Linked DNA regions of Canis lupus familiaris. The main gene of each other region encodes a partner of the protein of the gene in region 3 in a complex. Links are inferred from orthologs where the notes say so. Each region holds a gene or a part of one and is shown on either strand. Other genes may lie near its edges.

What was found.
Region 1: STAC3 (region 3) and CACNB2 share a complex: the UniProt entries of both Homo sapiens proteins name them as parts of the calcium channel complex. The link is inferred for Canis lupus familiaris from reciprocal best matches to the Homo sapiens genes STAC3 and CACNB2.
Region 2: STAC3 (region 3) and CACNG1 share a complex: the UniProt entries of both Homo sapiens proteins name them as parts of the calcium channel complex. The link is inferred for Canis lupus familiaris from reciprocal best matches to the Homo sapiens genes STAC3 and CACNG1.
Region 4: STAC3 (region 3) and CACNB1 share a complex: the UniProt entries of both Homo sapiens proteins name them as parts of the calcium channel complex. The link is inferred for Canis lupus familiaris from reciprocal best matches to the Homo sapiens genes STAC3 and CACNB1.

Annotation. Positions count from the first base shown.
Region 1 is NC_049223.1:17,482,294-17,489,092, reverse strand, and holds the end of CACNB2 (voltage-dependent L-type calcium channel subunit beta-2), read left to right. Parts: intron 1-219; coding exon 220-315; intron 316-1,348; coding exon 1,349-1,534; intron 1,535-2,421; coding exon 2,422-2,910; 3' UTR 2,911-5,813; downstream 5,814-6,799. UniProt on the Homo sapiens protein: Beta subunit of voltage-dependent calcium channels which contributes to the function of the calcium channel by increasing peak calcium current. Plays a role in shifting voltage dependencies of activation and inactivation of the channel.
Region 2 is NC_049230.1:13,483,786-13,491,133, forward strand, and holds the start of CACNG1 (voltage-dependent calcium channel gamma-1 subunit), read left to right. Parts: upstream 1-3,193; 5' UTR 3,194-3,359; coding exon 3,360-3,594; intron 3,595-7,348. UniProt on the Homo sapiens protein: Regulatory subunit of the voltage-gated calcium channel that gives rise to L-type calcium currents in skeletal muscle. Regulates channel inactivation kinetics.
Region 3 is NC_049231.1:1,727,249-1,734,813, forward strand, and holds the start of STAC3 (SH3 and cysteine-rich domain-containing protein 3), read right to left. Parts: upstream 4,426-7,565; 5' UTR 4,245-4,425; intron 3,619-4,244; exon of another isoform or gene 3,544-3,618; 5' UTR 3,543-3,543; coding exon 3,477-3,542; intron 3,204-3,476; coding exon 2,939-3,203; intron 2,024-2,938; coding exon 1,926-2,023; intron 1,711-1,925; coding exon 1,638-1,710; intron 1,195-1,637; exon of another isoform or gene 980-1,194; intron 737-979; coding exon 639-736; intron 1-638. Other genes in the region: R3HDM2 (R3H domain-containing protein 2), read right to left, coding at 5,325-5,447, 7,144-7,409. UniProt on the Homo sapiens protein: Required for normal excitation-contraction coupling in skeletal muscle and for normal muscle contraction in response to membrane depolarization. Required for normal Ca(2+) release from the sarcplasmic reticulum, which ultimately leads to muscle contraction.
Region 4 is NC_049230.1:23,127,408-23,134,777, forward strand, and holds the start of CACNB1 (voltage-dependent L-type calcium channel subunit beta-1), read left to right. Parts: upstream 1-3,325; 5' UTR 3,326-3,508; coding exon 3,509-3,592; intron 3,593-6,057; coding exon 6,058-6,144; intron 6,145-7,370. Other genes in the region: RPL19 (60S ribosomal protein L19), read right to left, coding at 473-477. UniProt on the Homo sapiens protein: Regulatory subunit of L-type calcium channels. Regulates the activity of L-type calcium channels that contain CACNA1A as pore-forming subunit.

The DNA.
Region 1 (6,799 bases), on a different chromosome or scaffold from region 3:
AAGACTCAAATAATAAGCTCTATGCCAGTTATCTTTTTTAAAGCATTTTTTAAAACTTGCAACTGATAATTTGTTAACATGTTAATTTTGCAGATAAGCTTACACATTTTATAGATTATAAACCATATGCGTTATATGTAAAAAGGCCCTAGAGTAAATAACAAAACTTGTTCTTTACCTGAGTGCAGATACTCTTCTGTTAAATCTTATCTTTCACAGGTTTTACAAAGGTTAATAAAATCTCGAGGGAAATCTCAAGCTAAACACCTCAATGTCCAGATGGTAGCAGCTGATAAACTGGCTCAGTGTCCTCCAGTAAGTTATCTCTATATACAGTATAATCCACTTGAAGACCTCAGAAAGATTTCTATATTTAGAAAGCAAGCAAACAAAAACCAGACAGGTAAACAGTGTCAGGGGAGAAAATTATCTCCATTTAGCCATGGTCTTCATTTTTAAGAAGTGAACTGTCCCTACTTCCTCCCATGAGCACTTGTCTAGATGATGGCTTACAAAAAGCTACAATGCATTCAGTGGTGACCTCACTTTGTTAATATCTAATTAGTATCCTAAGTGGAACGTGATTTTAAAAATTTGGTTTAAAAAATGGATCTGTTTGGGACTTATTATTCACTTCTAATAATAGAGAGCAAGTTGCCAGCTCTTAATGACTGAGAAATTGTTTAGAAATGTGTTTTTACATAGCCTCAAATAAATTAGTTACATGGCTTCTGGCACCTAAACACCTTCCTTTTCCTAATCCCTGCTCTAAATATCATGCTTCGGGACGAGAGATCACCTCTAGGTTTTTGTTTTGTTTTGACATGCAGGTATATCAGAAGCTAGAATTATGATTATATTTTTTATTGTCTGGAATATTTTGAAGTTTGGGCCCTGTCAAATCATCAGTGGTTTCAGCTTTCTTCTGCCAAATTTCATGTCCTACTCTTGCCTAAAGTAAGAGTAGGACAAAATTTCCAAAATGAAGTTTTTCATAATCTCGAGGTCAAAACCAGACCTCTTCCTATACTGTTCAGATTATATTTTTATTTTATTTTTTTACCTCTCTTTTCTATCATGTCCTAACCAACTATCCTTACACCTTTCACTTTCTGGTCATTGCTATTGGTTAAGCATCTAGGGTTGTGAATGATAATCTGAGGAGGTAGCTGTACAGACACAATCTGACTCAACAGGACATTTCAGCCAGTTTGTAAAGGAGAAAGCAGGTACACACAAGCAAATATAAAGTGGTGCAGCTCATGAGCCACTTCCCTTTGAGTGTGTGTGCCACTCACTCAATGCTGGACTGCTAGAAGTGTATCATCTGAAATATTTGCCTGTGCAGGAGCTGTTTGATGTGATCCTGGACGAGAACCAGCTCGAGGATGCTTGTGAGCACCTTGCCGACTATCTGGAGGCCTACTGGAAGGCTACCCACCCTCCCAGCAGCCATCTCCCCAACCCTCTCCTTAGCCGTACTTTAGCCACTTCAACTCTGCCCAGTAGCCCCACTCAAGCCTCTAATTCACAGGTAAGAGGGACTCTTTTCGTAAGAAAATGCTCTAGAAACTAGGCTGCCTTAGGTCACGTGGCTGGGATCCAAGCCCAGTTACCCAGCACAGCGTGTGTTCCAGTAGAGCAGCTCCATCCACACTGAGACAAACATTGAGTCATTTACTATCTTTAGTGTGAGTTGTGTACCCATAAGAACTATGTCAACAATATACTCAAACATATATAAAGTTTAAAAATCCCTAGCTACATGTTCTGTAGGACAAGGCTAGCTTTTTCTACATTGCCAGCAGCACAACCATGGAATCAGACTGCCTTGGTCCAAATCCACTCTACCTCTTAGTGAGTGGGTCAGGTTGGAGAAGCTCCTTACCTGCCCCTTGCCTCAGGAAGACAAATGGCAACCTGTCTCATAGGGCTGCTGCATTATTCATTTGATACAGAAGATTGTCATAAGACAGTACTTTCCTCATGCTGAGTGGTATGTAAGCATGTGGCATGTTATTTCTTCTCCTTAATCCTTAAGCCAAAGCCAACATCTTAAGCAATTTTAATCTTCCCACTTGTATACAAGTAGAGGTAGTGAAATGTACACTTGTGTGTTGAGAAATCTTAGGGACCTCTGTATCTGAGCCCCAGGAGAAGATATAAAATGATGCCCCCCCTCATTTAGTCATCAAGGGGGAACAAAAAGTTACTCTGTACACTATTGTAGGCACTTACAAATCAAAGTCTCATATGTTATAGTACAAACCTTGTAAATGCCACCCAATGTTAACAAAAGAAGTAACTGAGCTAGGTTAGATTCATTTTAGAAACTCACAAGGGCATCAACATGAATGGACGGACCTGTTTTTGCGACATCTGACCTTGGCTGATGCCTGTGCTTGCTCCCTTCCCCACCAGGGTTCTCAAGATCAGAGGACTGAGCGCTCTGCTCCTGCCCGGTCTGTGTCCCAAGCTGAAGAAGAAGCCTGTCCGGAACCCGTCAAGAAAACCCAGCACCGTTCCTCCTCTGCCCAGCACCACGGCCATCGCAGTGGGACGAGTCGAGGCCTCTCCAGGCAGGAGACGTTTGACTCAGAGACCCAGGAGAGTCGAGACTCTGCCTATGTGGAGCCGAAGGAAGATTACTCCCACGAACACGTGGACCACTATGCCCCCCACCGTGACCATAACCACAGAGATGAGCCCCACGGGAGCAGTGAGCACAGACACAGGGAGTCTCGGCACCGGTCCAGGGACCTGGATCGAGAGCAGGACCACAACGAGTGCAACAAACAACGCAGCCGGCATAAATCCAAGGATCGCTATTGTGACAAGGATGGGGAAGGCATCTCCAAAAAGCGGAACGAGGCTGGGGAATGGAACAGGGATGTTTATATCCGCCAGTGACTTTTGCCCTTTTGTGTTTCTTTTCTTTTTTTTTTTTAAGTCTTGTATACCACCACCCTCAGACTCCATCTTTGGGGTCTACGTTGCAGTCATATGTGATCTGTCTTGTACACTTTGTATTGCTGTTGCTTGAATAGCAATAGCATGATAGAGTATTAATATACTTTTTTTTCTTTTGTAAGTGCTATATAAATTCGCCTGGTATGGCTGCAGTCCTCCGGTTGTATACTGGACTTTTCAAAAACTGTTTGGGATAGCTGCCACTTGAACAAAATCTGTTGCCATCCAGGTGGCATTAGTATTTTAAGAAACATAGTTGATGTTTTCAAAACTGTAGTTGATGTATCCAGCAAGCCACAATTGGCCCAGATAAAAAGTGGAATTTCTTGATTCTCCAGATTTTTAATATGTAGGCACCTAATTTGCATATTCATTTATCCATGGACCACTGTTTCTTGCTTGTACCTCTGGCTGACTAAATTTGGGGACAGATTCAGTCTTGCCTTACACAAAGGGGATCATAAAGTTAGAATCTATTTTCTATGTACTAGTACTGTGTACTGTATAGTTTGTAAATGTTATTTCTGCAAACACCTTCTTATGATTATATATATAATATATATATATACATATATATATATCAGTTGGATCACACTATTTTAGAGTCTTAATGCCAAGTCAGCAGATTTGCTTTATGAATTACAGGGACTAGAAATGCCCACCTTCAGGAAATTTGTAATATTGTCTAGACACCTTTCCCCATTCTAGTAGAAAGTCTGTACATACTGTAAATATGTGATTGCCTGACTTGAAAAGGTTTGATTTCTGAATGTTTTACCATCCTTGTAAGTTTATAATTTTGACCATAAATTATGGTAAATATAACCAAACTCCAAAGGTTGTTCTAATCCATGCAGTTCACACTGATTGTGACAAACACATTCTTATTAGTAGCTAGTGTCTTATGTCACTGCACTGGAGTATATGAGCCGGACCTCTGTGTGCAAGTGTGTCTGTGTGTAAGAGTGTGTAAGAGTGTGCACGAGTGACTGGGTTGGAGCTGAGTGCTGAAGACTCAAGACTAATACCTAGAATTCTACCCACATGGTTTTGTATTTAATTGTGCTACGTGTTGCTTTGAGAATCCATTGAGCAGTCAGGTATTGTGAGGAAGCTTGCTGCCAAAGGTGACTAGGAAAGCATTTATCTGCTGGCTCCTTGTTCTTGCTCCTAGAGAGTAAAAATACAAGCAACTTTTAACTGTGAGTGTTTCACTGGAAATGTACAATCTTTGTGTGTTTGAGTATTTGTTTTAGTAAGAAATGTTTACACAGCTTGTAGAATTATTTCGTGGGAAAATAAATTTTTCTAACTCCCCCCACCTCCTTTTCTACCCTTGCCTATCGTTCCTGTTGTTTATCTCCCTGAAATTTCCCCTTCATTCCTTCCCTGCCACCAACTCCCAACAGTTTCGCTGTCCGTCAAAACCTAGAAGTGCTTCTTATAACCAAAGTTTCTGCTCTTCAGAAGTAATCAGGGCAAAATGAGGTGACTTGAAGTGAACAAAACGTTAAGAATATCTTCCTCCATTAGACATCGACTCTGAAGGGGAACCCAGAAGATCCTATTCTCCATGCCTCAATGATATAGCGCTGTAAGCAGCTCACAGTGTGGTTGTCACGCTAAGGCTGAAACCTTCTGTGTCGTTTCTGTGTACACTTTTGTCCAGTTATGCCTGGACAGGTAAGACAGTATTAGGTGTGCAGGTACCTAGCACCTAGAGCTTGGCCCTGAAAAATGCCTATCTATAATTGCCTAACTTCCGACTGTACATTATGAAATGATTATTTTGTTAAATAAGTTAATCTATTTTTGTTTTGCTTCTTTGATTATTCCAGGTTCTTGCCAAATATTCTGGGACCTTTCTAAGTGAAGTTGTTTCACGTTGAACTCCTTATTTCCCTTCCCCTTCAACAAAACTCAGTTTTAAAAATGAGTTATATTACCTGATAAAACCCTTTCAATGTAAGAAACATTTTCCTCAGAATTAATCTTTTTGTTAATTAGCTCTGAACTGTTGACAAATTTATTTATTGAATATAAAAATGGTAGTCATAATATATACATTTTTTATGTAAACTATTCATATCATTGGGAAACCATATTCCAGGTAGTTACTTGTATAAAATATTTCTGAAACTTTCATCCCGTTTAATGACTTTGGGATATTTAGAACTCTTGAAGTATAACTGGTATTTATCTTACTTGCTGCTACCACTTATCCCTTTCAAAGAGTCATGCTAACAGATTCCAGTTTTAAAACTTCATACCTGGATTCTTAATTTTTCACTTTACTGTGAAACATACTAGTCCAAATCAGAGTATTCCTCAAAGAACTATATTGCAGGATTTGACATGAGCATCTATATGTGAAAACTGTATAGCAGGCATATGTGTAAATGTGTGTACTCAATTTGTAAATGCAGAAATAATCCCAAGGGCAATGGGAGATTTTACTGACTTGTGGAATGTAAAATTAGTCTTTTCACTCAGCAAAGGCTTAACCTTAACCTACTCAGTTGTAGAATCATGATCTTTGTAGTCAACCTAGAAAATGCTGGAAATGGAAATGTTTTTGATAGTTCTGTGTTTTATTGTCAACCCCATTTCAGTTTTTCCTATGCTCTTTCTCTCCTGCTCATTTAAGTTACTGTTACAAAAAGGTGCTGCTAAATGTAGGATGTCTTAGTCATATTGTACTTTGGGACAATGCCACATTTTTAACATGGTCTGCTGTGCATTCCTGTTAAACATTCACTGTCAGTGACACTGAACTGTTCAACAAATCTGGTTTAAATTCATTCATATAAAACAAATAAAGAGCTGGCTTTCTGCACTGTTTATTAGTAGTAGTATTAATTGCAATTTTAGGAATGTTTCTCATAGTTGAGCCTATGTCAGATTTCCAACACCACCTCCCACTGTGGAGGATCTTTCCTAAGGGCAAAGCTAATCATTGATGTTACTTTCGTGAGTAAAATTAAACTGGTAAAATGACAGCTTACCGGAGGTAGAGATCTTTTAAAATAGGAGCACAGCAGAGTCCTCTTTAAGTCTACCTGTGTGGCAATTCTTGATTCAGATTTTTTTTATTCTTCCTTCATTTTTAAAATGAAGATCTATCTTGATGACAAATTTAAATCCTCACCCTTATCGCCCCTTCACTCAGAGCAGTGATACAGTGCTGCCTAGTCGTGGATAATTTCATCCTAGGAATATGTCAAGAGTCACACAGTTAGGGAAGATAGCTAGGTAGATGATGAATTAGAGGATTCCAATTATTCAATTCTGGCTATATTTGTATTTCACTTTATTATTTAAAGTAAAATGTGGTTTTTACTCAGTGTTAAAAGTTTTTTTTTTGTTTCACAGAAATATGTATGTTAACCCCAAATATGTTGAGAGAATATATTTTCCTCCACCTTTCCCAGATTTTTTCCCTCTTCATTTTACTTTTTCTTAAATTTGGGTCCCTTAAAATTGAATGTGTTTATTTTCCAATTTGCCCTATTTTTTGAAGGAAAGAAAACACTGAAAAGGTCTATGTCAAAGCCAACATTTTTAACAATGTTCTTTGTCCTGTTTTTAGTATGCAAATATTTTTCTTTTGTTTTGACTGCATTGCTTGTATTTGATATTTGTCAGCATTAATCAACAGTTTACACATCTACTGCTGGTCTCCCTGTCTACGATTTTCATCCCAGCTGAGCACGTAAGGCTTGGCAGACAGCATGAGAAGACATGGATTTTTTAAAACATAAAGTCTGGAGAAATGTGCTGAGCCCTAGAAACGGATGACACAGGTAAACAGTGCTTCTCTTTAGTCCAA
Region 2 (7,348 bases), on a different chromosome or scaffold from region 3:
ACATCTATGAAGATCCCACCCTGGGCTCCGATCTGGGGGTGTTCTCTGAGGGCACCCAGAAGGAGTAGGTCATATGGCCTCATTGTCTCTACCGTCCAGAGGTTTATCACCCATCAGAGAAAGCTGATCTATCTGTGGCCTGTAAATAATAATAATATCACTAGCCATCCTGGATGACTGCCTACTCTAGTAGCTCAGAACACAAAATACTTAAACTTAAACAACACTTAAACAACAGAAATGTACTTTCTCCTGGTTCTGGAGGCTGGAGGTCTCAGATCAGGGTGCCAGTACGGTTGGGTTCTGGTAAGAGCCCTCTTCCTGGGCTCACCTCACTGAGTCCTCACGTGGCAGGGAAAAAGAACAAGCTTCTGGTATCTCTCCTCTTAAGCACAGGAGTCCTATCACGAGGGGCCCACCCTCATGACCTCATTCTAACCTAATCACCTCCCAGAGACCTCCCCCCCTCCAAACACCATCACATTGGGGTTTGGGCTTCAACATAATTCTGTCCGTAGCCCCTCGCCCAGGCTAAGCTGGTAAACAGCATTATCTGTGATGCTGGCCAGCACCCCAGCCGGCCAGCACTGCCTTTATTTAGAGACGCAGGAGGGCAGCTTAAGGAGGCCCATGACCTGAGGGAATCCCAGAGGGCAGAGAGGGGCTCTGATGCCCAGGTGGCTGCTCCATCCCTGGCAGGCTGGTTCCCACTCCCAGGACGCCCTCCTTCCCCCTGCCCTGGAAAGGGGAGAGCCCACCCAGCAGGTGCAGATGTCTCCCAGCCCTGGCTCCCAGCAAACGCCAGCTTCCACAGAGCCCCTGCCCTGGCCCAGCAAGGTGCTGGAGAGGTGCACAGGGGGTCTGACAATGGCCTCAATGAGCAAAAAAGGTCTGATTGGAGAAATTTTGCAAACAAGGGGTAGGGGGGGTTGGAGGGTAGGGGTAGGGGGTGATCACCTGCAACCCCCTGCAATCTCCATCATGGCAGATTTACACAAAGACGACTTCAAAGGAAGAGGCCAACCGTCTTTAATGCTCTGCTCACTGGGATGGAGCACTCAGGACTCCCCCACCCCAAGAGAGGTCAGAACAGACCTCATTTCCCCAACTTAGGGCACTTAGTTCATAGCTTCTTGTTTTCCTATCAGATTTTCCACCAACTTTCCTCTCTTCATCCCACTGGCATAAAAACACTCAGATTTAACCCTTCCTCTGGGTCTTTGTTTCCCGTGCCAAGGCTTCCGTGCCATGGAAAACTTACAGGGAATAAGTTTGGATGTGTTTCTCTAGTGATGGGAGCCTACGCTGAGGACTTAGAAGGGCAGAGGAAACGGATACTTTTGCTCCCCGTAGCCACAGTAGATCCTGACCTCTCCTCCCAGCTCCAAGCATTGCTTTAGAGTTCGGGCTCTGGGTTCTGAAGCCTGGCTTCACCATCTATCTCCTTGCTGGGTGACCTCGGACAAGTTGCTTCGTGTGTCTGGGCCTCTGTATCCTTACCTGTAAAACGGACGTAATAGTCACACTCACCTCACGGATTGGTATGAAGCTTAAAGGCAATGGTGTGGAGGGAAGCCTCGGTGGTTCAGTGGTTGAGGGGCTCCTTCAGCTCGGGTTGTGTTCCCGGGGTCCCAGGATGGAGTCCCACATCAGGCTTCCTGCAGGGAGCCTGCTTCTCCCTCTGCTTATGTCTCGGCCCCTCTCTCTGTGTCTCTCATGAATAAATAAAATCTTAAAAAAGGGGCGGGGGGGCAATGATGTGGAAAGGTTTACCACAACACGTGATATACAATAGATACACAAGATGCGCGGTTCCTATGATTATCGTTATTATTAACAGTCTGTGACTCCAAGGCTGGACGCCTGAGTGCTTCTCCGCCCACAGGCAGAGTATTTCTGTGAGCTGTGTCAGCCTGAGGCTGGGATTTTGAAGTCAAAACCCTGCCCAGCTCAGGGGTCTATTCTTGGCCACACACTAGCCTCTTGGATAGACCCTAGAAGAGGCAACTGGTCAATTGATAAAGAAGAGATGCAGAGGGGCGCCTGGGTGGCTCAGTCTGTTAAGCATCTTCCTTCGTCTCAGGTCATGATCTCAGGGTCCTGGGATCGAGTCCTACATCAGGCTCCCTGCGTGGAGCCTGCTTCTCCCTCTGCCTATGTCTCTGCTTCTCTCTTTGTGTCTCTCATGAATAAATAAAATCTTAAAAAGAAAGAGAGAGAGAGATGCAGAACCCAGGAGGGATCCAGGGGCTCGAGCCTGGGGTGGGGGACATACGGGCTCGCAGGACTCTCTGGGGGCCATCCCAAACTGTCCTCTGTCCTCTGCTGTGTCCACACACCATCAGCCTCTTCACAGTTCCCTGCCGACCAACCCACTTCTGTTGTTTTTAACTTAAATATATTTATTTTGTAAATGAAAACAGAACTGGCGAAACGTTAATAGAAGTAAAACTCAAACAGTAAAATAAAAACAGAACGACAGTCAGGTCCAGCTAGATTCCTTGTCCTCTCCAAGCTAGTCTTTGATTCGCAAGCATCAGAAAGGTTAGCTAAAGACTTCCTTTCCTTCTGGACCCAGTTGAAGGGGTGGGAGGAGAATTGAAAAGGAAAAAGCATTCCCACGCCAGGCACAGTGCTGGGTAATGCCAGGCCCAGGAACCACCAGGAATCTTCCCGCAGTTTAGGGTTGTGCTAGGACTTGAGGCTAAAGCCAGGGAGGTGGGCCCCTGGTGGTTCTGGTGGAGGAGCCCCAAGATGTCCCCACGCAGGCTCCTGCATTCCCCAGACCCCCAGGACAAGGACCCACTCACACCCCTTTGCACTGGTGACCGGCCTGCCCAGTGTGGGAGCTGGGCTGTGGTACCTGTGTCCCGCAGGGTCCCCTGCCGTCACCCAGCTGTATCGCCTCCTCCTGCAGCCCAGAGCAAGCACATTCCCACACATCTAGTATCCCTGTGGCCTATCCCTCACTGCCTCCAACTCAGGTATCCTGAGCTGCTAATCGTGGAGATCCCAAGTCACCATCTAGAGCCTTCTCTCCCTGCCCCTCCTTGAGGTATTTTAGGTCTCAGGAGGGAAAGAAAGTCCTGAAACCCGAGGAGAAGCTATCCTCGGTGACACGCCTGGGATGTGCATTAATAGAAGCCTCCCTCAGGCCCCTGACACGTCTGGGCAGCTGCTCAGCCCCGTCTGGTGTCCCTCAGCCCCGAGGCCAGCCCACTCTGGCTCAGCCGGACGCACTAAACTTAGCTTCCACCCCCAGCTCGATAATCACCGCCACCTCCCCAGCCTGGCTGCCACCTGCGCGGGACACACTGCCACCAGACTGTGCCCAGGGCACCCACTCCTCCGCCACCACCATGTCCCAGACCAAAGCGCCGAAGGTCCGCGCGACCCTCTTCTGCATCCTGGTGGGCATCGTGCTGGCCTTGGTGGCCGTGGTGACCGACCACTGGGCCGTGCTGAGCCCCGAGGTGAAGCACCACAATGCCACCTGCGAGGCGGCCCACTTCGGCCTCTGGCGGATTTGCACCAAGCGCATTGTCATGACTGACAGCAAGGACAAGACGTGCGGACCCATCACCCTGCCTGGGGGTAACGTACCCACCCTCTGACCCCATCCCTGCCTCCTGCCCTGCTTCCTGCCCCTGGAAAAGGTGCCGCTGGGAAAGAGGGCAGGTTTCCCTGCCTCAGAGCAGAGATCGTGCCCAGCCTCGGTGCCCAGGGAAGAGGATCCGAACGGCCTCTGTCCTACTGGCCAGGGCCGCTTGTAAAGCCAGGGCGCCTGTCCCTCTTTCTGTCCCGCAGAGGCTCCCGGCCTTCACCCTGAGCAGGGGGCTACCCACCTGGGCCTAACAGGCCTGAGGCCCTGGCCCCCGCAGTGGCCACCCTTCTGGGTGACCCCGCTTTCCTTTCTCCCTGCACAGACAGGTTCAGTGGCCCTAAGTCCTCAGGCTGCAGGGACATGTGCGGCTGGCACGGTCACTCCCCAGGGTCAGCCACCAGATTTGCACAGCATAGCGCAAAATGAAAACGCAGGGCTCTTTGTGAATATTTTTAAGGATTTCGAGATGGTAACAGTGACGCACGGAGCCGAGTGTGGGTCCCTTCTGTGTGCAGGGCCTTGGTTGACCGCAGAAGCCACACATCTGTAAAGCAGGGCCCGGTCGTAGACGAGCCTCCCGCCTTTTGTCAGAACTGTCACACCTGCACATCCTCTCTTAGCTCAGACCCCTCGGAGCTGGGATGCGTGTCCTCCTGCTCTGATTTCAGTGCGTTCCCCAATTTTCCTACCCTGTGACCGAACCGCACATCCGAGGTGAGCTCCTCGTGAAGGATCAGGGTGGTATTAGGGTGACCAGTCTATGCTACAAATGCGGAGCCCTCCACACTCATAGCGAACAGAGCACACGCTGGGGAAAGAGCCCTGCGTGGAGAACCAGAGGACTGGGCTCTGCGTGCATTGCCCACGACACTCCAATGACTCTGGGGTCCACCATGCCCATTGCGGCCTCTGCTTCCCCCTGTAAAATACAGTGTTCGGGCTCTGCAAAGCCCCTTTCAGCCTTTACAAATGGCACCGTAAGGTGACAGTGGGCCAAGGCGAGTACAGGGACCCACCTGCCTTGCAGAATTATTCCCTCTGTTATCAGACTGGGTGTTCCTTGAACCCAGTTCCTTGAACTTTCAAGGAAGTCAGGGCTAAGTCCCCAGAGATCTTGCAGTCTGTGCATGGGACAAAGGAGCCCAAACCCCATTCCTCTACTTCTCCTTTTCCTCCTCTTTTCCCTCCTGCTGGCTCTAGAAAACCCCTGCCTCGCTCATTCCCCCTGGACACACAGAAGACTCGTAAATACCCAGCTGTCTTAGAAACACTGCGTCCCCGGGCCGAGGGCTTTAACAGACGTGGACATGTGCTTGAAGGGTATCACGTAGCTCACATGTCCGCGCTCCTTCAGCCCCGGCCCAGCACAGCCGTAAACAGATGCATCATCCAGCCAATTCCCATGGGTGGGGCAGGGCAGGGGGAGGCAGATTCTCCACGGACCACGCATGGGAGTGCCCTGCCATGGTCCCGTCCACCTGTCCTCAGAGGCACCCACCTTTTAAAGTCTGCTGAGTTTATAGAGCAGATGAGCAAGGAGGCGAGGCAAGTCCATACAAGGAAGGGACAAACTAGCAAGAGGTTAGCTGCACAGGCCCGACAGGCATGGTTTGGTCCTGACCCTGACCAGAGTCTATCTCTACGCCTTCTTGCCCCGCTCCAGAGTGAATCATACCTCCCACGCTTGTGAGCCCAGCCCTACCCTTGACAAGCTTCTGAAGTATGTGCCAGCAATCTCCCCTCTCCTTTCTCTGCAGATGGACACCTTCCCCACCCACCTTTCCTGTGCTCTGTGGGGTTACTTTTTTCTAGAGGGAGGAAGAGAGTGCATACATGTTCTCTCGCTTATTATTAATAGCAGTAATAGGGACCGCAAACACAAATCTGCCAAATATTGTTTTCAGTGCCTCCCATCTTTTAACTTTGAATGACATCAGAAGAAATGGCAGGGTAAGAATCCCCCTAAATGTCTTCTCCATAAAGACAATGAGAACTCTAGCAAAACACGGTCAGAACAAACCTTTTCAGAACCCTGGACACTAACGAATCTTGCAGCAATCCAGTGAGTGCTTATTCAAGAAAAACAGGTGAATCTGAGTCAGAATGGTGAGTTTTGTGGTGCTTTAACTTGCTCTATTTCTGTTCCCCACTCCCCAAGTCTATTAGAGCCTTGAAAACCAATAGCCTGCAAACAGTGTAAATTTAGCCCCCAAAGGGGACAGATGGGGCTGGATCTCATTCAAAGCCTCATTCCCAGAGAACTGTCATTATTTGATCTGCCTGGTGGTTCCCTGGAAGTCCCCACTTGTAAGGTTGTCTTTATTTGACCTGATGCTGAGCTCACTCAGTGGAAACAGTCTTTTTCTCAGGGGGCATTTGGCAAAAACAATTAGAAGCAAATGTTTAATAGCATAATTTCCTGAGGCAGTAGACAACAGTTAGGGCAAACAATAGGCTACCAAAACAGCTAGAGAGTTAGATGTCCATAGGTGGCTTGGAAGAGCTCCAACAAGGATGCCTGGGTGGTTCAGTGGTTGAGCATCTGCCTTCGGCTCAGGGTGTGATCCCAGGATCCTGGGATCAAGTCCCTCATTGGGCTCCCTAGGGGGAGCCTGCTTCACCCTCTCTCTGTGTCTCTGCCTCTCACTGGGTGTCTCTCATGAATAAATAAATAAAATCTTTGAAAAAGAAAAGAAAAGCTCCAACATATTCCTGAGAATTTGGAAGGCCATGTGCATGCACAGCGCTGTATGGTGCACAGGAAAGCCCAAGAAGGCCCTAAGCTCTCACCTCAGGCTGATCTTGAGGCTGTGGGAAAGCAGAAAGCGGCGGCTAAGGCAGAAATGTGGGCTGCTTGGCGGAGTACTTAGCTCTCTGCTTAGCACAGAGCCCCTCAGTAAAGACTAGGAGGTGTATTAGTCCAAGCATTTTACAAAATGTGAGCTGATTACCAAACTAACTGAGCAGAGTTCAGAGGTCACACATAACAAAGAAAACAGACTTTGCAAAATTAATTAGGTCACTAAACAAACCATAATAAACAGTGAGCAAATCCTAGGGAAGGGTGAGACTCTGATTTCCAGAGTTGCTCATTATATTGTTTAAGTATTTCAGCTTTAAATTTAAATTTTAAGTTGAAAAAAATCACAAGACATGTAAAGAGGTAAAACAGTATGGCCCATAAATAAGGAGGATAAAGCCAGTCCATAGATCCTTAAGGAAACCAGATATTGGTCTCAAAGACTATAAATCAGCTATTTTATTTTTTTTAAGATTTGATTTATTTATTCATGAGAGACACACACGCGCACACACACACACACAGAGACAGGCTGAGGGAGAAGCAGTCTCCATGCAGGGAGCCTGACGTGGGACTCGATCCCGGGTCTCCAGGATCACGCCCTGGGCTGAAGGCGGTGCTAAACCAGGCTGCCCTAAATCAGCTATTTTAGATACACTCAAATAACTAGAAAAAAAAAAAAAGTCTAAACAACTAAAGATGAGAATGATGTCTCATGAAATACAAATTATCAATGAAGAGATAGAATTTATTGTAAAAGGACCTAATAGTGTGAGTTCAAGACCCATGTTGCACTCTGCACTGGGCATGGAACCCAGTTGGGGTGTCTGGGTGGTGCAGTTGGTTAAGTGTCCGACTCTTGGTTTTGGCTCAGGTAGTAATCTCAGGGTCATGAGATCAAGCCCCACTTCAGGCTCTGCACTCAGTGCAGAATCTGCTTGAGA
Region 3 (7,565 bases):
ATCTCCCTTTAGCTAGGCACTCTCTAAAGGACCTGGATTCTTTGGGCATAGTCATTCATCCAATTTTAGGACTCCAACTAACTGTTATCCACATCAGTCCATCCTGGTTTTCCAGAAAGATATAAGGATATGCTAACAAATTCTTTGCCAAACTGAATGCAAGTCTATGGCATCACCAAACTAGTAACCCTATTACGAAAGGAAATGAAGTTGCTTTTGGGTGCTAGCCTAATGCTTCAGTTTCCTCATCTATAGGATAAGTGAGTAAGTTCAGATGATATTCATGGACCCTTCATGGCTCTAGAATTGATTGCTTGGCATGATAGGTTTGCTTCCCCAAATCCAAAAGCATGGCTCTTGCCTCTGTTGTCTAGCAATGCCAGGAGCCTGGGGACCTAACCTTCAGTAGGTTATGGTGCTTAATCTGACAATTCCAGAAGGGAGTTTCTAGAGAAAACACATGCTATGGCAGGAATTCTCAACCCAAGGCTCTCTAAAATTGCATGCAAAAATTTGTTGGGTTATGTGCAATTTTAGGGGAAGAGAATCCCTAGCTTCTGTCAGCTTTCCAGAGAGGAGACAGGACCTGCTCTGCGGAATCTCTTGGAGGGACCTCAAGAGGAAGGTATGGTGCTCACATTTTTCTTATCTGCCTGTCCTTTCTTCCGTTCCTTGTTTGCCATGATCACCCCAGTGCGCAAGGTTTCAAACACAGGATCATTGTGACTGGCCGCAGCTAGTGGGAATGGGAGAAGAAAGAAGCCATTACTGGGGAAGCAGAGAAAGACTTGAAGGAAAGAGAGACCTTCTAAGTAAGGGAGAGGTGGGATTAAGTAGACGGATACGTGTGTGTGTGTGTGTGTGTGTGTGTGTGTGTGTAGGATTAGGGTGGGGTCAGCTGGGCATATCTAGGTCATCAATCTATAAAGAGCTATAAAAACATCACTGGGAATGTAATGTGATGGAGAAAAATACTTACCAGCACTCCTTCCAGGCAGAGCATTATATGATGTTGGAAAGACAACTTTGCTAATAAGTTGCTTGGGAGTTGGGGAATGCTCACAATCACTATTCTCCTTTTAAGGAGAGTGGTCCTTTAACTGCTGGCTTTTCTGCTGAGTGGCATGTGCAAGCTGGAGTGCTGCCACCAGTGGGTTCTTCTTTTTTCCACCCATGCTCCTCATAAAGATCAGCCTCTCCTCCAAATAAATGTTGAGTAAAATTGTCAACGAATATGTTTGTAAGGGTTGCCAAATTATGAATCTGCCCAGGATGCCCACAGCTCTTGGTCTAGCCCTGAGACTGGTATTACTCTGTCACAAGGATGAGGACAGTCAAGAATCCTTGTTCTTACTTAGACATAGTTTTACATATGAAGAGCCCAGAGTTTGAAGCTAGGCAGATGAAGGTTTCAGTCTTGGCTTTGTCTCCTGCTAGTGGTGTGGAGCCCTCGCTAAATCTTATCTTCCCTCAGCTATAAAACAGGAATACTGACTCTGTATTCAAGATGGTAGGTTGAGCAAGAACCATGGGAAATAGAATCTTTCTGTTTCAGAATTTGGCTTCCAGATCTAGAGGTGGTGCTGGAACCATCTCTAGGCTTGCCCTTTCCCTCGGGTCCCACATGGAGCACTTACAGAGATCTTTGACACAAGCGTACTGCTGGTTGCTGTAGAGTGGGGAGCTATAGGCCCGGTGGAAACCAGGGGGCTGTAGGGTGGGATGGGAGAAAGCATTAGAGACAGCAAGCTATGGCCCAGAACCCCATCTCTCCCATGAGTAAACCCCTTCTTGGGGTAAGAGATGGGCTGAGAAAGAAAAAGCAGGGAAATGGATATGACGACTTGGGAGGGACGGAGGGACTGCAAGGGGGGAGCTGGCAACACGTCCCCTCCCTTCCTTCTCGCTCCCCAGAGCCTACTCACGATCTTGCCGAAGCATCTCTGCATCTCCACATAGGACTGACAGTGCTCGTGGATGTTAGTTTTGCAGTTCTTACAGCGAAGCCCAAATTTGTTGTTGACTTGGGAAAAGCAAGAACATTTGGGTCAAGTTCTCCATTGCCCCTTCCTTTTTGTACCAGTGCTGCTACTCTAGCTCTCAGGTCCCTTTTTGGTCTAGGACCACATTCTCGGGTTTTTTTGTTTCTTTTTAAATATTTATTTATTCATGAGAGACAGAGAGAGAGAGAGAGAGAGAGAGAGGCAGAGACAGAGACAGAGGGAGAGGGGGAGGGAGAGGGAAAAGCAGGCTCCATGTAGTAAGCCCCCTGTGGGACTCAATCTGGAGACTCCAGGATCATGCCTGAGCCAAAGGCAGACAGATGCTCAACTGCTAAGCCACCCAGGGGGTCCCACACTCTCTTTCTAATGGTGTTGATTTTTTATTTTTATTTTTATTTTATTTTTTTGGTGTTGATTTTTTATTTTTTTTTTTAATTTTTTTTTATTTATTTATGATAGTCACAGAGAGAGAGAGAGAGAGGCAGAGACATAGGCAGAGGGAGAAGCAGGCTCCATGCACCGGGAGCCCGACGTGGGATTCGATCCCGGGTCTCCAGGATCGCGCCCTGGGCCAAAGGCAGGCGCTAAACCGCTGCGCCACCCAGGGATCCCTGGTGTTGATTTTTTAAAGATTACTTTTTTATTTGACAGAGAGAGAGCGCGCACGCAAGAGAGGGAGGAGCAGAGGGAGAGGGACTCTCCCCCTCAAGACCTGAGATCATGATCGGAGCTGAAATCAAGAGTTGGACGCTTAGCTTAGCCGGCTGAGCCATGGCTAAGCCACCCCTGAGCCACCCGGGTGCCCCTCTGCTAGCGTTTTCTTAAAGCTGCCTCTTGCTCCAGTCTGCCTGCTATACAAATGCGCCTCTCCTGAGCCCATTCCCCCACCTCCTGCCTTCAACATTACACTCTCTCTACTTCCCTTCGTGACTCACGCACAATCATCCGGGCACAGACATCACAGAACTTGGGCTTCTTGAAGAAATGATCTTTGAATTTGTGAGGCTTATCATTGACAAGCTTAGGAGGTTCTGGGGGTGGCTCTTCCTCCTCTTCTTCCTCCTCCTCTTCCTCATAGATGTAGTAGATGGGCCCACCCCCAGCTCCCACTGCCTCCCCATTGGCCTGGGGCTCTGGGGGAAGCTCCATCTCCTTTGTCCCGGGAGACTCCTTCCTGAATAACTGCTTCAGCCGCTGTAGCTGAGGGTGGAAGGGGATGGGGGAAGGGAGGAAACCCAAAGTTAAAAGATCTGTCATGCTCTCCAGAGCAGGTAAGGCTGACTACTAACTACACATTTTTCCAGTGTGGGCAAGGGGCACACCCCAGGATTAGGAGGTATTGGGGGATGCAGGTGCTGGCTAGCATTCTGACAACGGATCAGTCACATACAAGTGAGATTAATTCAAGCATTCTTGAAGGGCCGCAGTGGCTTCCCAGCTCCCCATACCCAGTGGTCACAGGCCCAGACTCACCCCACTTTGCCGAGTCTCTGCTGGGAAGGAGGGCTTAGAGGACTCCAGCACCTCCTTTTCTGTCATCCTGCAAGAGGTTGGACCCCACTATGAAATCTAATCCCTGACTGCTGTTCTTCCTGTCCTTCACTGTAGGGTGGTTCTTGAAAGGGAGATTTTAGGAGAAATTTGCTTAAACAGAAATCCTTTTACATAGGCTTATCGACAGATTCCATGGAGGTCCAGGGAAAAGCACAGCCGACTAAAGAACTTCCCAACCAGCTCCTGATATCCATCCTTCCCCACTGAGGGGCAACCCAAGTTGACAGCCCCAACACTGTTCAAAGCTGCATGGCTTAGAGATTTTCCTGGTTTCTCCTGGGAATTTGTGGGCAAGAGGGATGTGACACACACCTTCCCAGATCCCTTTTCTTCAAGAGGTTTAATGTGTCCAGAAGCATGCTTGGAGGGATGGGCTGGGAACATCTGTTCACCCATACCCCTTTCTTGAGTCCCGGGGGCCCAGGGCCTAGTTCCCAGCCTGCCTGTCCTCAGCTATTTTAAGTTTTCAGAGTAATATGAGCCTTTCTTTCCCTTACTACTCCATTCCCTTGACCCCACCTCCACCCCACCCTCCAATCCTAGCTCTTGTCCTGGAATAATAATTTCACTCCTAAAACCCCAACTACTCACAAGCAAGAGAGAAACGAAGACATTGAATAGGCTACAGATTGGGGAAGCTGCAGGGAGCAGTTCTGGCAATGGACAGAGGACGAAGAGGCAACTTACGTTTGGGATTCCCTAAGTCAGCCCACAGTCTGTGGAGGGAAGAGGGAGCCCCTGGGGTCTTGATGGTGGTGCTGGGGGAGGACTGGTCCTCTTCCTTGGGGGCTAAGCCCCCCCAGTACCCTCTGTACTCACACCGGCTACCCAGACGTTATTTGTAGACCTCCTAGTCTCTCGCCTTGGTGTCACAGCTGAAATGACAGGGCTGGAGGAAAGTGGACAGCTGAGCGACACAGCTGACACAGAGAAATTGGACACGGGGAGGCCTGGGCTGGGCTGGACCCTAACTCCTCCCATCCCCCAGAGCTGCTATGCCCTGGTTTTTTTTATCTATGGTGTACAGGTCAGTTTTGGCTAAATTTAAGAAGGGACAGTGTCTGTTCATGTTGCATACTTCATTTAGGTGATTTTGGATGACTGAAGATAAAGATGAAATTGTAAACAGTTTTCCCCAAGGTCCAAATACATCTCCAATTCTACCTTCCCTGGACCTACTTTAGAAACTAGCTTTTGATTTTTCAGCCATTGGCTTCTTGTGGCCATGTGTTTTTACACCCTCAAGCACTCATCTAGCTTCAAACCTTTAGGAAGGAAAGAATTTGAATTCTCAGAGGTTTCCTATCAGCCAGACTAGACTGCATCCTTATCCAATAGTGGTGGGAGGGGTACCCTGCTCCGTCCTGAAAGGTAGTGAGGAACATGCATAGTACTGCTTTATTCCCTCCAGTACCCCAGGAACATCTTCCCTCCATTCTAAAATCTTGTCCTCAGGGTGAAGGGAAATCTAAGAACTACTGAAAAAATCCAGGCTGGGACTTCCATCTGAGGGGCTCTGGGGGATTGCGGGTCTGATGGTCAGGTAGGTAGAGATGGTCTTGTTCAGACTGGACAGAAGGCCATAGCTACCACACAGGGCGGGTTTTATCTTCAGTAAGTAACGTCTGCTTCCCCATGAGGATTGCAAACTTTTGGAGATAGGATAGCTGAGCCCCACACTTCGAAATCATTTTGATTCCCTGATTCCATCTCCCTCATCTGATGCCCCAGTATATGAACTTATGGGTCAATGAGATATCTGGCATCTTATCTCGCAGGGATGCAGCCTTCTCCTACTCTGGGCTGTGACATGGCTGAAAGAGAAGATACTCCCATCTCGGAGGACAGCCATTTGGATGTGGTCATGTAGTGCTGCTTTATCCCTTGTATCTGTAAGAAGTAAAGGATTATGTTGGAGGCTGGGTCAGACAAGCCTCAGAGGAGCCTGGCTAGAGATACTGCTACCCACACCCAAGAGATTTCCAGGGTAATGTGCTTTGTCATTTCTGTCACTGCTCTTTTTTCTTTCTTTAAGGGGTGGGTGAGATCGAGCAGGGCCTGCGGGATGGCTCTTAATGGCTTTGGTCTGACAGGCTGCACAACAACAGGGCTAGCTTTGAGAAGCCTCAGCGAGAGGAAAAGCTCCATCCATATGGGGTGGGTAACGTCTGCTTTTCACCTTTCTTCAGTTGCATAGGACAGGGACTGCTGAGTATACCTGGATAATATGGGATCTCGGCACTGCAAGTTCAACTGACATAGCTTTTATTGTAAGAAACATCCACTTCTGTCCTACCATGCAGAACCCAATGGCTTTTGTATTAAAGAAGGACCCAAGTCCTCCATCCCTGAAGAGTTTTCAGAAGATCAGATTCTGGACACATATAAGGCCACCATCTCAACCCAGTTCTGGACCTCGCTCACCCCTCCCAGCTCAGCCACAAGGGACCCTAAAGGAGTATTCACAGAATTAACAAAATGGAAGGAACCTCAGAGGTAGGCCAGTGAGTCCAAGTCTCTTATTTTACTAATAAGGACTCAGAGGTCTGGAGTTGAGAAGTGATGTGTCTGATGAAACCACACTTGGAGAGTTAGGAGAGCCCAGAACAAAGGTCCCATTAGAGACCCAGCCATCTGTCAGAACATTATGTACAAGGACCGGGGTGGGATGCATGGAACAGTGTTAGGAAGATATGTGTGCATAGGCTAGGGAAAGCCATCCTACGTGAAACCCCTCCAATAGCTGTGGGATTGTACCTACCCAGGACCTCCAACCCCCACCCACACCAGGGCAGCAACAGAGAAACAGGGACTGACGTCCAGTGACAGATTTTTTTTTTATATTTAAAAACAAAGTCAACCTCCCCCCAAATAACCCCCCAAACAAACAAAAAATCAGATTAAATAAAATTTACAGTGAATATACCCAGCAAACATCTGTATGTGCAATTAAATACTGTCTGTTACTGCGGCACGAACCTCAAACAAACAATATACAAGTGTTCTGGGAGGTGGGGGGGGAGGCCCAAGTATTAACTCTTTGGGGTTTGGGGAGACAAGATGGGGGAAGTGAGAGAAAGGGGAAATCAATTTTGCTTTTCTTAATTCTGTCCATATAAATATATTCATAAAGACCAGAAATGAAAAGGGAGCTTGGGATGGTAAGGGGATTGAATAGGGGAGTGTGGGACCCTCCCAATTCTATCTGACCAAAAATATGAAAAAAATTAATTTCATGGTGGGAGAAGAGATAAAAAATGACAGAAGAGGATGGGAAGGAGAGGGAAGCAAGGGGGGGCCAACCAGGGAAAATGAGGGGACCCATGGCAGGGGGGGGGGCGAGAAGGAGTCCAGTGCCAGTGTGTCTGTTCCGTCTTCATCCCCACTGTCTCAGGCTCCAGTTCAGTGTCTGTCACCTTCCTTTCTGCCTCTGTCCATGGTCTGTCAGGATCCCTCGATCCCCTCCACCCTGCTTCCACCCCTACTGTGCCGGACCCTTCCCCTCCTCCGTTTATTGGGAGCTGGCTCGCTCCAGGATCCTCAGGTCATAGTTCTTTTTGGCCACTCGAAGTTTGAAGCGACTCACAGAGTTGTTGAGGCGAAGGGAGGCATTCTGGGCAGCCAGGGGGCTGGGAAACACAGCCACGATGGTGTACAAGGCAGCGAGGTCCGCGTGGCGGCCGTTCTCAGCAGTCCCACCGTTGTCCCCCCCGCCCCCGCCAGGCAGCCCCTGAGCATCCTTGAGCCATTGAATCTTGGCGCCAGACATGGCGAGCTGAGTGAAGAGTTTGTCCGCCTCAGTCCGAGTGATGCCCTCAGGGAGATCTGTTACCTCCAGCACCCGGCCCAGTACTGGAAGGGGAGGAGAGAGGCCACGGTTATGAGAGGTAACTGTATGAAGGCCCAGCAAGCGGCCAGCAGAGAGGTCTGCAGAGCTGACCCAAGTCTATAGATGGCGTCCTCAAAAACTTGGCCTCACCCACTTAGCCCATCCCTCCTTCCCTAAAT
Region 4 (7,370 bases), on a different chromosome or scaffold from region 3:
TTATCACACTAATAAACTTACGTCCCGCTAGCCTAAGAGTTTTCTTATGAATCGCCCACGGGGTGGAAGGCATCGCCTCACTCTTAAGTAGTCTGAGGCCCGAGGCCTGGACGAGACCTGTCCTACGTCACATGGAAGCAGAGCTCGGCCCGATCCCGGGCGCCCAACGAGTAAGGGGGCCACAGCCTAGTCGCTGCGGCGGCCCTTCCACTGTCCCGGCAAGCCGCTCGCAACCCACACGGGGTGCGAGGCCCACCCTTCCCGCGGCCTAGCGTTCTCGGGAAGCACCCCCCACCCCCACCCCCCGCCGGCCGAGGCCGGGGCCTAGTGCGCTCGGGCCAGCCCCAAGCTCCGGGACCGGCTGCTTCAGGGCTGTCTCCACTTCATCTCTCCCACCCGGGGCCAGGGGAGCAAACCACGCCGCCCGCCGACACTTAGGATCAACCAAAATCAGGGCCCCGCGCGCCCTCACCTCATGGCTGCGGCCGCAGCGCCGAAAGGAAAGAACTCCCCCTGGCCGGGCTCCTCCCACTATCTGCGAGGGGGAGAGCCCATCCCCTGTTCCGCTTGAGCCCCTACTCCCCGCCGGTCCTCTCATCCTCTGACACTCTAAACTCAATCCTATCCTCTGTGAAGACCGAGACAGCAGAATCTAGTTTCGGGAGTCGGTTTTAAACTTAAAAACACAGAAAATGTATCCTTTCGGTGAGGCAAAGTGGTATAGTCCGACTTCCTAATAGGCATGCGCAGCAAGGGGGCCGGTCACGTGGGTACTGGAAGCCGGAAGTCACGGCTGGATGCCGCAGGCGGGACGTAGTTCTGCTAGAGCGGCCTATTTGCAGGCGTTCTGGGTTCTTTGGAATGATGTTTTCTTAGCGAAAAAAAAAAAAAATAGTGGAGTGAGAGAAGATAACGAGGGGAGATATCAGTCAAGAGCAACCTTTTATTCATTCTTCCAGTACATTGGGAAACCCCTGCAGCACAGGATAGATCACCAAAGATATATATATGTACATATGTGTATATATGTATATATGTGTATATATATGTATATATATATATTTTAAAGATTTTACTTGTTCATGAGAGACACACAGAGAGAGAGAGGCAGAGACACAGGCAGAGGGAGAAGCAGGCTCAGTGTGGAGAGCCCAATGTGGAACTCGATCCCAGGACCATGGGATCACGACCTGAGCCACACAGGCGCCCACCAAAGATATTTGTGTTTTTGCGCCACTCTGGTCCTTAATCTTATGGCGATTCAGTTTGTTCCTTTGTAAAGTGTACCTAATCCTCATATTTCTGTAATCCGTCGTGAAAACCACATGTATTAACTTGCAAAAGAGAGCATTAAGACAAGCTTCTAGGTGACAGGAACCAGTCTCGTTGGGCTCACATGGAGCTTTGCATATATAATAAACACTTGAGAAATAGTGCATTGGCCGAGTAAATGAATAGCTGTCAAAGTTAAACAAAACAAAAAGATGGAATGACAGGGTCATCCATAGTTCTTTTCTCCTACTCTGAAACACCCAATGCAAAAACCCAAAGAGAATATTCTAGGGTTCAAGAGACTTAGATCTGAGTTCTGGGTCTAACTCTGCTTGGCTCTAGCTGAGCACCCATCTCTATCATCTGAACTTTCTTGGGGGCTAAATGCAGCTGAGGAAAGAGAGGAAGGGAAGCAAAACTTGCCACTTTTTCAAAACTACAGTTAGTGTGATCCTCATTTTATAGCTGAGAGAGGTGGCAAAAGTTGAAATTCCAGGTCTTTCTGACTTCAATATCTATGACTTCTCTGTCGTACCAAGCTTTCTTGTGCCCAAGGGACAGATCAAAACCCTGCTCAGTATTGGATCTGTTCATAGAACAATGCTGATGTGCTTTATTCTTACTCTCCCTCAATGTGATCAGAGAAACAGCTTAAGCTGCCCATCCATTTGTAGAACCCAGGGTGAGGAAAAGGAGTCAGTGTATCCATCCCACAGTCTCTCCTCTAGCAGGAGGAGACAGGAGGCTGGCCTTTATATTAGGGTCACTGAACCTGGGCAAATCTTCATTTTACTTCTCACCTCCCGTTTGAGGAGCAGGGTAAGGGGTAGGGTAGAGAGATAACAATTCCTCCTGCCATGAGAGACCTCTGCTCAGCACCTTGCAGCATCTCCAAACACCTGAGCAGTCCATCATTTGATTTCATTCTCCCTCATCCCCCTAAGAATCCCAGGTGACAAAGACTACAGTATCGGCAACCCCATTTTATAGGAGTGTAGTGACTTGTCCAGGACCACGTGACCAGAAAGAGCCTGAACCAAATTGACACCAGAGTTCCTTTCTTTCTTTTTTTCTTTTCTTTTTTTTTTTTTTTTTAAAGTTATCTCTGTATCCAGGGTGGGGCTCAAACTCACCACCCTGAGATCAAGAGCCACATGCTCTATGGACTGAGCCAGGCAGGTGCCCCAATACCAGTTTTTGACAGAATGCCCTACTTTTCTCTCCATAGGTTGTGGTGAGTGGAGTCCAGGCTTTGGATATTTGTCCCCAAATTAAGGATGAAGGGGGGGCAGTTCTAGATCAAAAGTCACTAGATCCGATTTTAGCCACTCTTTCATCTCCCACATTTCTTCTTCTTTCTTCTCTCTTCCAAGAAACAGGGACCTTGCCTTCTGGAAGTGCCTGGGGGGGATATGAGGGACAAAGGCAGAAGGACACCTGGGTCCCTGGGATTTCTGGTTGCTGTCTGTGTTGGAACTGCCTTTGGACATTCTCATCACCCCAGCATCAGCGTGAGCTTCAGCCTCCGAAGGCAGCGTCCTGCGGGAGGGAGAGGGGCCTTTCTGTTTGGTTCAAGGCAGCCTGGGCCCACACCGGGGAGAAAGGAGTTAAAGCCGGGTCCCAGGATCAACGGGATTGGGAAGTTCCGGCGGCCCAAACTGGAGTGGAATGGGCCGACCTGTGAAGGGAGAGCGGTTTGGGACGGAACGGGGGGGGGGGGGGGGGGGGGGCAATCCGCGCTTCACCTCCATCAGCGCTCAGCATCCACTGGTAAACCGCAGCCCCCGCCCCCAGCCCCAAGGCCGGGCTTCACTCCCCCCCCACGCCCCGCCGCAGGCGCTCTCGCCCGGGGCCAGTCCGAGGCCCGGCTCACCCCCTTCCAGGGCCGGGAGGGGCGTGCCTCCCTCCGGCCGCCCTCCCATTGTCTGCGCCGAGCGGGCGGAGGGGCTGCGAGGGGCGGGGCCGCGGCGGCGGCGGGAGGGCGGGCGGAGGGCGGGGCAGGTGGGAGCGGAGGGGGCGGGGGAGATGCTGAGCCCTCAGGGGCGGAGGAGGCGGCGGCGGCAGCGGAGGGAGCCGGAGGAGGGACGGGAGGCAGCGAGAGGGCAGCCGGCCGCCGGGCCAGGTGTCTGGAGCGGGCGCCGGCTGCGCTGCGCGGCTCTCGGTCCCGACGGCCTCTCTCATGCGCTGAGGGCGCCCGGCCGGGCCGGGCCGGCGGCGGGAGGAGAGGCTCCTCTCCATGGTCCAGAAGACCAGCATGTCCCGGAGCCCTTACCCGCCCTCCCAGGAGATCCCCATGGAGGTCTTCGACCCCAGCCCGCAGGTGAGGTGTGGCGGCCGGGCCCGAGGGCAGGGGGCCGCTCCCGCGGACCCCGGGGGTCGGCTCGGGGACGCGGGCGAGAAGGAGTTATGCGCCCGGCGGCGAGGGGCGAGGGGCGCCTGCGCACCCCCGGCCCCTGCCGGTTAATGATTGATGGGCGCCTGGCCGGGAGTTGGGCTGCGGTTTCTCGGAGCGGGAGGGGGCGGTCGGGCCGCCTGTCACCACGCCTCGGCTCCCCCGCGGCAGGGTCCTCGCTGCTCGGGGTACCTGCTGCAGGGATTGAGAGTGGGGAATCCGGGGGCTGACGGAGGCTGGAGAGCGAGCTCGGGCAAAGGGGGCGACGCAGAGCACGCTCGGGGGCGCCAGGCGGGGGTGGGTGGGGCGGGGGTGGCCCTGGGAGCTGGCCGAGGCGGGGGTCAGGGCGGTGCCAGCAGGCCTTCGGAGCCGCAGACGCTGGCCTTCGAGGGTGGGGAAGGGGTCGGCCCCGGGCTAGGCCCCCATCCCGGCACCTCAGCTACATCCTGTTGGACCACCTTCCCTCTCCCAACACCCACGTTATCTTTCCCTCTCTCCCCCCCTCCCCTTCCCAGCCTTAGAAAACGCCTCCAAAGTTTGGAAAGTTGGATGGATGCCAACTCACTGTCTTGGAAGGGAGGAGGCTATGTTACCTGGGGTTTGGGGGGAGAGGGTGTCTGCCGCCCCACCCCCAGTCACACTTTTCCTGGAGTTATCCCCAGGAAGGGGCATTCTTGGGTATGGTGCATACCCACGGAGTGACAAGCAGAGTCTGGGGTGACTGGTCAGGGTCTGGGGTGGTCATGTCAAGGGATTTCTCTGGGACAAGGCCATTCTCCAATCTGGCAGCACCCCAAGGCTGGGATACCATTAACTCTTTTCTTGCTGTGACCAGCCTGGAGCAACTGTAACCACCATGATAATGTGGTTGATGAGCTTGGTGTGTGGGGGGGTCAGGTTAGACCTAAAAATACCTCCTTTCTCCACCCCAGGCCCCTTGGAGCCTGGGAGGCAGCTGACTGGGGCCTTCCTTTCAGCTGTCCCTTGTCTCTCTGGGTGCCACTCCCTTTTCCCATCCTGGGGGTGGTGGTGGTGGTGGTGGAGGATCCTTTTAAGTTTGTAGGGATCCTCAATCCTAGAGGTTGGAGATATGTCTGGTTTGAGAGAAGGGGGTGAGAGGGTGGATTTTTGAAGGGTTCCTGGGTACCTTTCTCTCCCATCTATCCATGCTCCTTGTATTCAGGTCTGAGGAACCAGAGTCCCCAGTCTGATCATGTCTTATCTAGCTTCTCTGGCAAAGAAACTCTAGGATTGAGTCTGGGGACAAGAGCGTGGAGGGCCTGAACCCTCATCTCCCACCCCATCTAGCTTCTCTGGCAGAGAAACTCTGGACTGGCCTGGGCCAAGTGTGTATGTGAGTTAGGGAGGGCGAGGAAGCAGTCCCCTTGATAGGTGGCCTGGGAACACCTGAATGTGTGGCTGCTCCAGAGGTCAGGTAGTGTTCACTCCACCCAAGCCAGGAGCCCAGTGTGACTGAGTGGGCCTACCCCAGGGACTTTGAGGGCTGTGTCCTAAGCTTCTCTTGGGGTAGGGCCAAGGGGTGTTATGACTGTTGCAGCTCGGTAGGTACCATGGGCACCAGGCATGCGCAGTGGCAGCTAAGGGTTAGAGAGTGGAAGCTTGATCCTTCTCCCCCTTTGGGGAGAGGTGTGACCACTGTGAGGATGAAGAGGGGGCTGAGAAACAGTCTTGCCAGGGTTGGGGGGCGGGGTGCTGTTAATTCCACCCCTCCCCCATGACACTAGGCTGGGTTGAGGTTAGATGTTTCCTTTCCAAATACAGTTCCATGCCCCCCCCCCCCACAATCCCCTCCCCTGAAATGTAGTTTTGGGTCTCCCAAGAACTGAGAGCTGCCACTCCCCTCCCCACTCTGCGGAAAAATGAAGGCAAGATTCAGGCTCAGGGAAAGCCAAGCTGGGCTCGGGTTGGTGATTCCCCTTCACTCTGGGGGCCACAGGCACACTCAACCCCCCTCTGCTCCAGCTGATGGGGAGAAGGAGGGGTCTTTCCCCAGCTCCCTCTGCCGTCCTCACACTGCAGGCAGCCTCTCCCTTCCCCCGAGGCCTCTGCAGCCTGCCCGGCATCTTAATTAGCTTTGCTGCCTAATGAGCTTCCAGCTTCTCAGCGCCTCCCTGTTCCCAGACTCTCTGGCTTGGTTTGGGGGTTTCATGTGTGTTTCCTAAGACTCTCTCCCACTGTCCCCCACCCCAGGGCTGTGGTCTGGGCCCTTCCTCCCCCTCAGGCTGTACCATCTCTAGAAGAAGATGGGGGGTGGGGCTCTTCGGATCAGGGAATGATATTCCCAAAGCCTGGCTGTAGCTTGGGGCCTGATGGGATGAGGGTTGGGAACGGCCCTTTCTGATTCCACTCTTGTCCCTTTCTGGCCTCTCCAGGGCAAATACAGCAAGAGGAAAGGGCGGTTCAAAAGGTCAGATGGGAGCACGTCCTCGGATACGACATCCAACAGTTTTGTCCGCCAGGTAATGGAGAGGCTGGGCTGAGATGAAGGAGGTGGCTGGTTGGTGGAGACCAGCATTGGTAGCTGAGTCTGAGGCTTTCTCCAGGTACCCTCCCCTGTGTCATTTGCCCCCTGCCTGGAACCATCCCATCACCCTTAGCCCGTGACCTCTCCGGCACATACTGTCAGCCTGCACCCACTCCCTCAGCCCCCGCCCTGCCCCTCCCCCAGCTTCAGGCACCAGCCCCTGCTGCCTGCCTGCCTGCGTCATCTCATTCAGGGACAGCCTGGCCTGCCTCCTCCTAGCTTGCTTCAGGCTGTCACCCACTCCCCCTGCCGGCTGTCTGCTTCCATGTCCTCCCCCAGAACCTGTGACAGCGTGGGGTAGAGGCAGAGCCTAAGAAATGAGGAACCAGGTCCTTTGGGTCCCTGGAGCTTTGGTGAGGTATGGGTCAGGGAAACGCCCTCCTCACGTCCAGCTAACTGTTCTTAAATATGCTGAGAGAAGGTACGCTGGTTGGAGGAGGCCAGGGCAGGAGGGGGTTTTAGAGAGTAGCACCCCCGGCTGAAGGAGGCTGAATAGCTTTCTGGGGTCTTCTTTTCCCAGTCAGGAAGATGCCATTCTTCTCTCTGTTCTTAATGTCAACCCCAGGCCATCTCAGGCTCAGGGAGAGGCAGCCAGAGAGGCATGTGGTTGCTATGACTACAGAGCATCTCAACAAAACCTGGTACCCAAAAAAGGCGAGAGAGGCTTGGGATCAGACAAGGAAAGGGCGGATGCTGAAGAGGAAATGGGTAGGGCATATGAGAGCATAGGGCAGTAGGGAGGTCAGCCCCCCTTGGGCTGGAGAATGAGGGTGGTGCCCGGCAGATCCACGGCAGATTGTGGAGTGAGGCCCTTTTTGATTCTTCTATCTCCACAACACTTGGCATATGTGAGCCCAGGCCTGACTTGAGAGGGTCAGACAAGGGCCCTTCATCCCAGCATCTTCTAAGTACATAGACAGGAAGATCTTTCTTCAGTCTTTTCCTCATCCCTCCTGTTGCAGGGCTGGGCCAGGGCCAGTGCTGGGAGGAATGACGCTGTGCTCCGTGTAACTCCTCTTGACAGGAAAGAGCCTTGGTTCCTCCATTGTTTGCCACCCCAGGGGGTCAGACCCCAGCCTCCAGTCCTTCCTCCTCTCAGTTCTGAGTTCTGACCCCCGTAGGTGGCAGGGAGTGGGGGAGCAGGCCTTGCCACATCTCTGA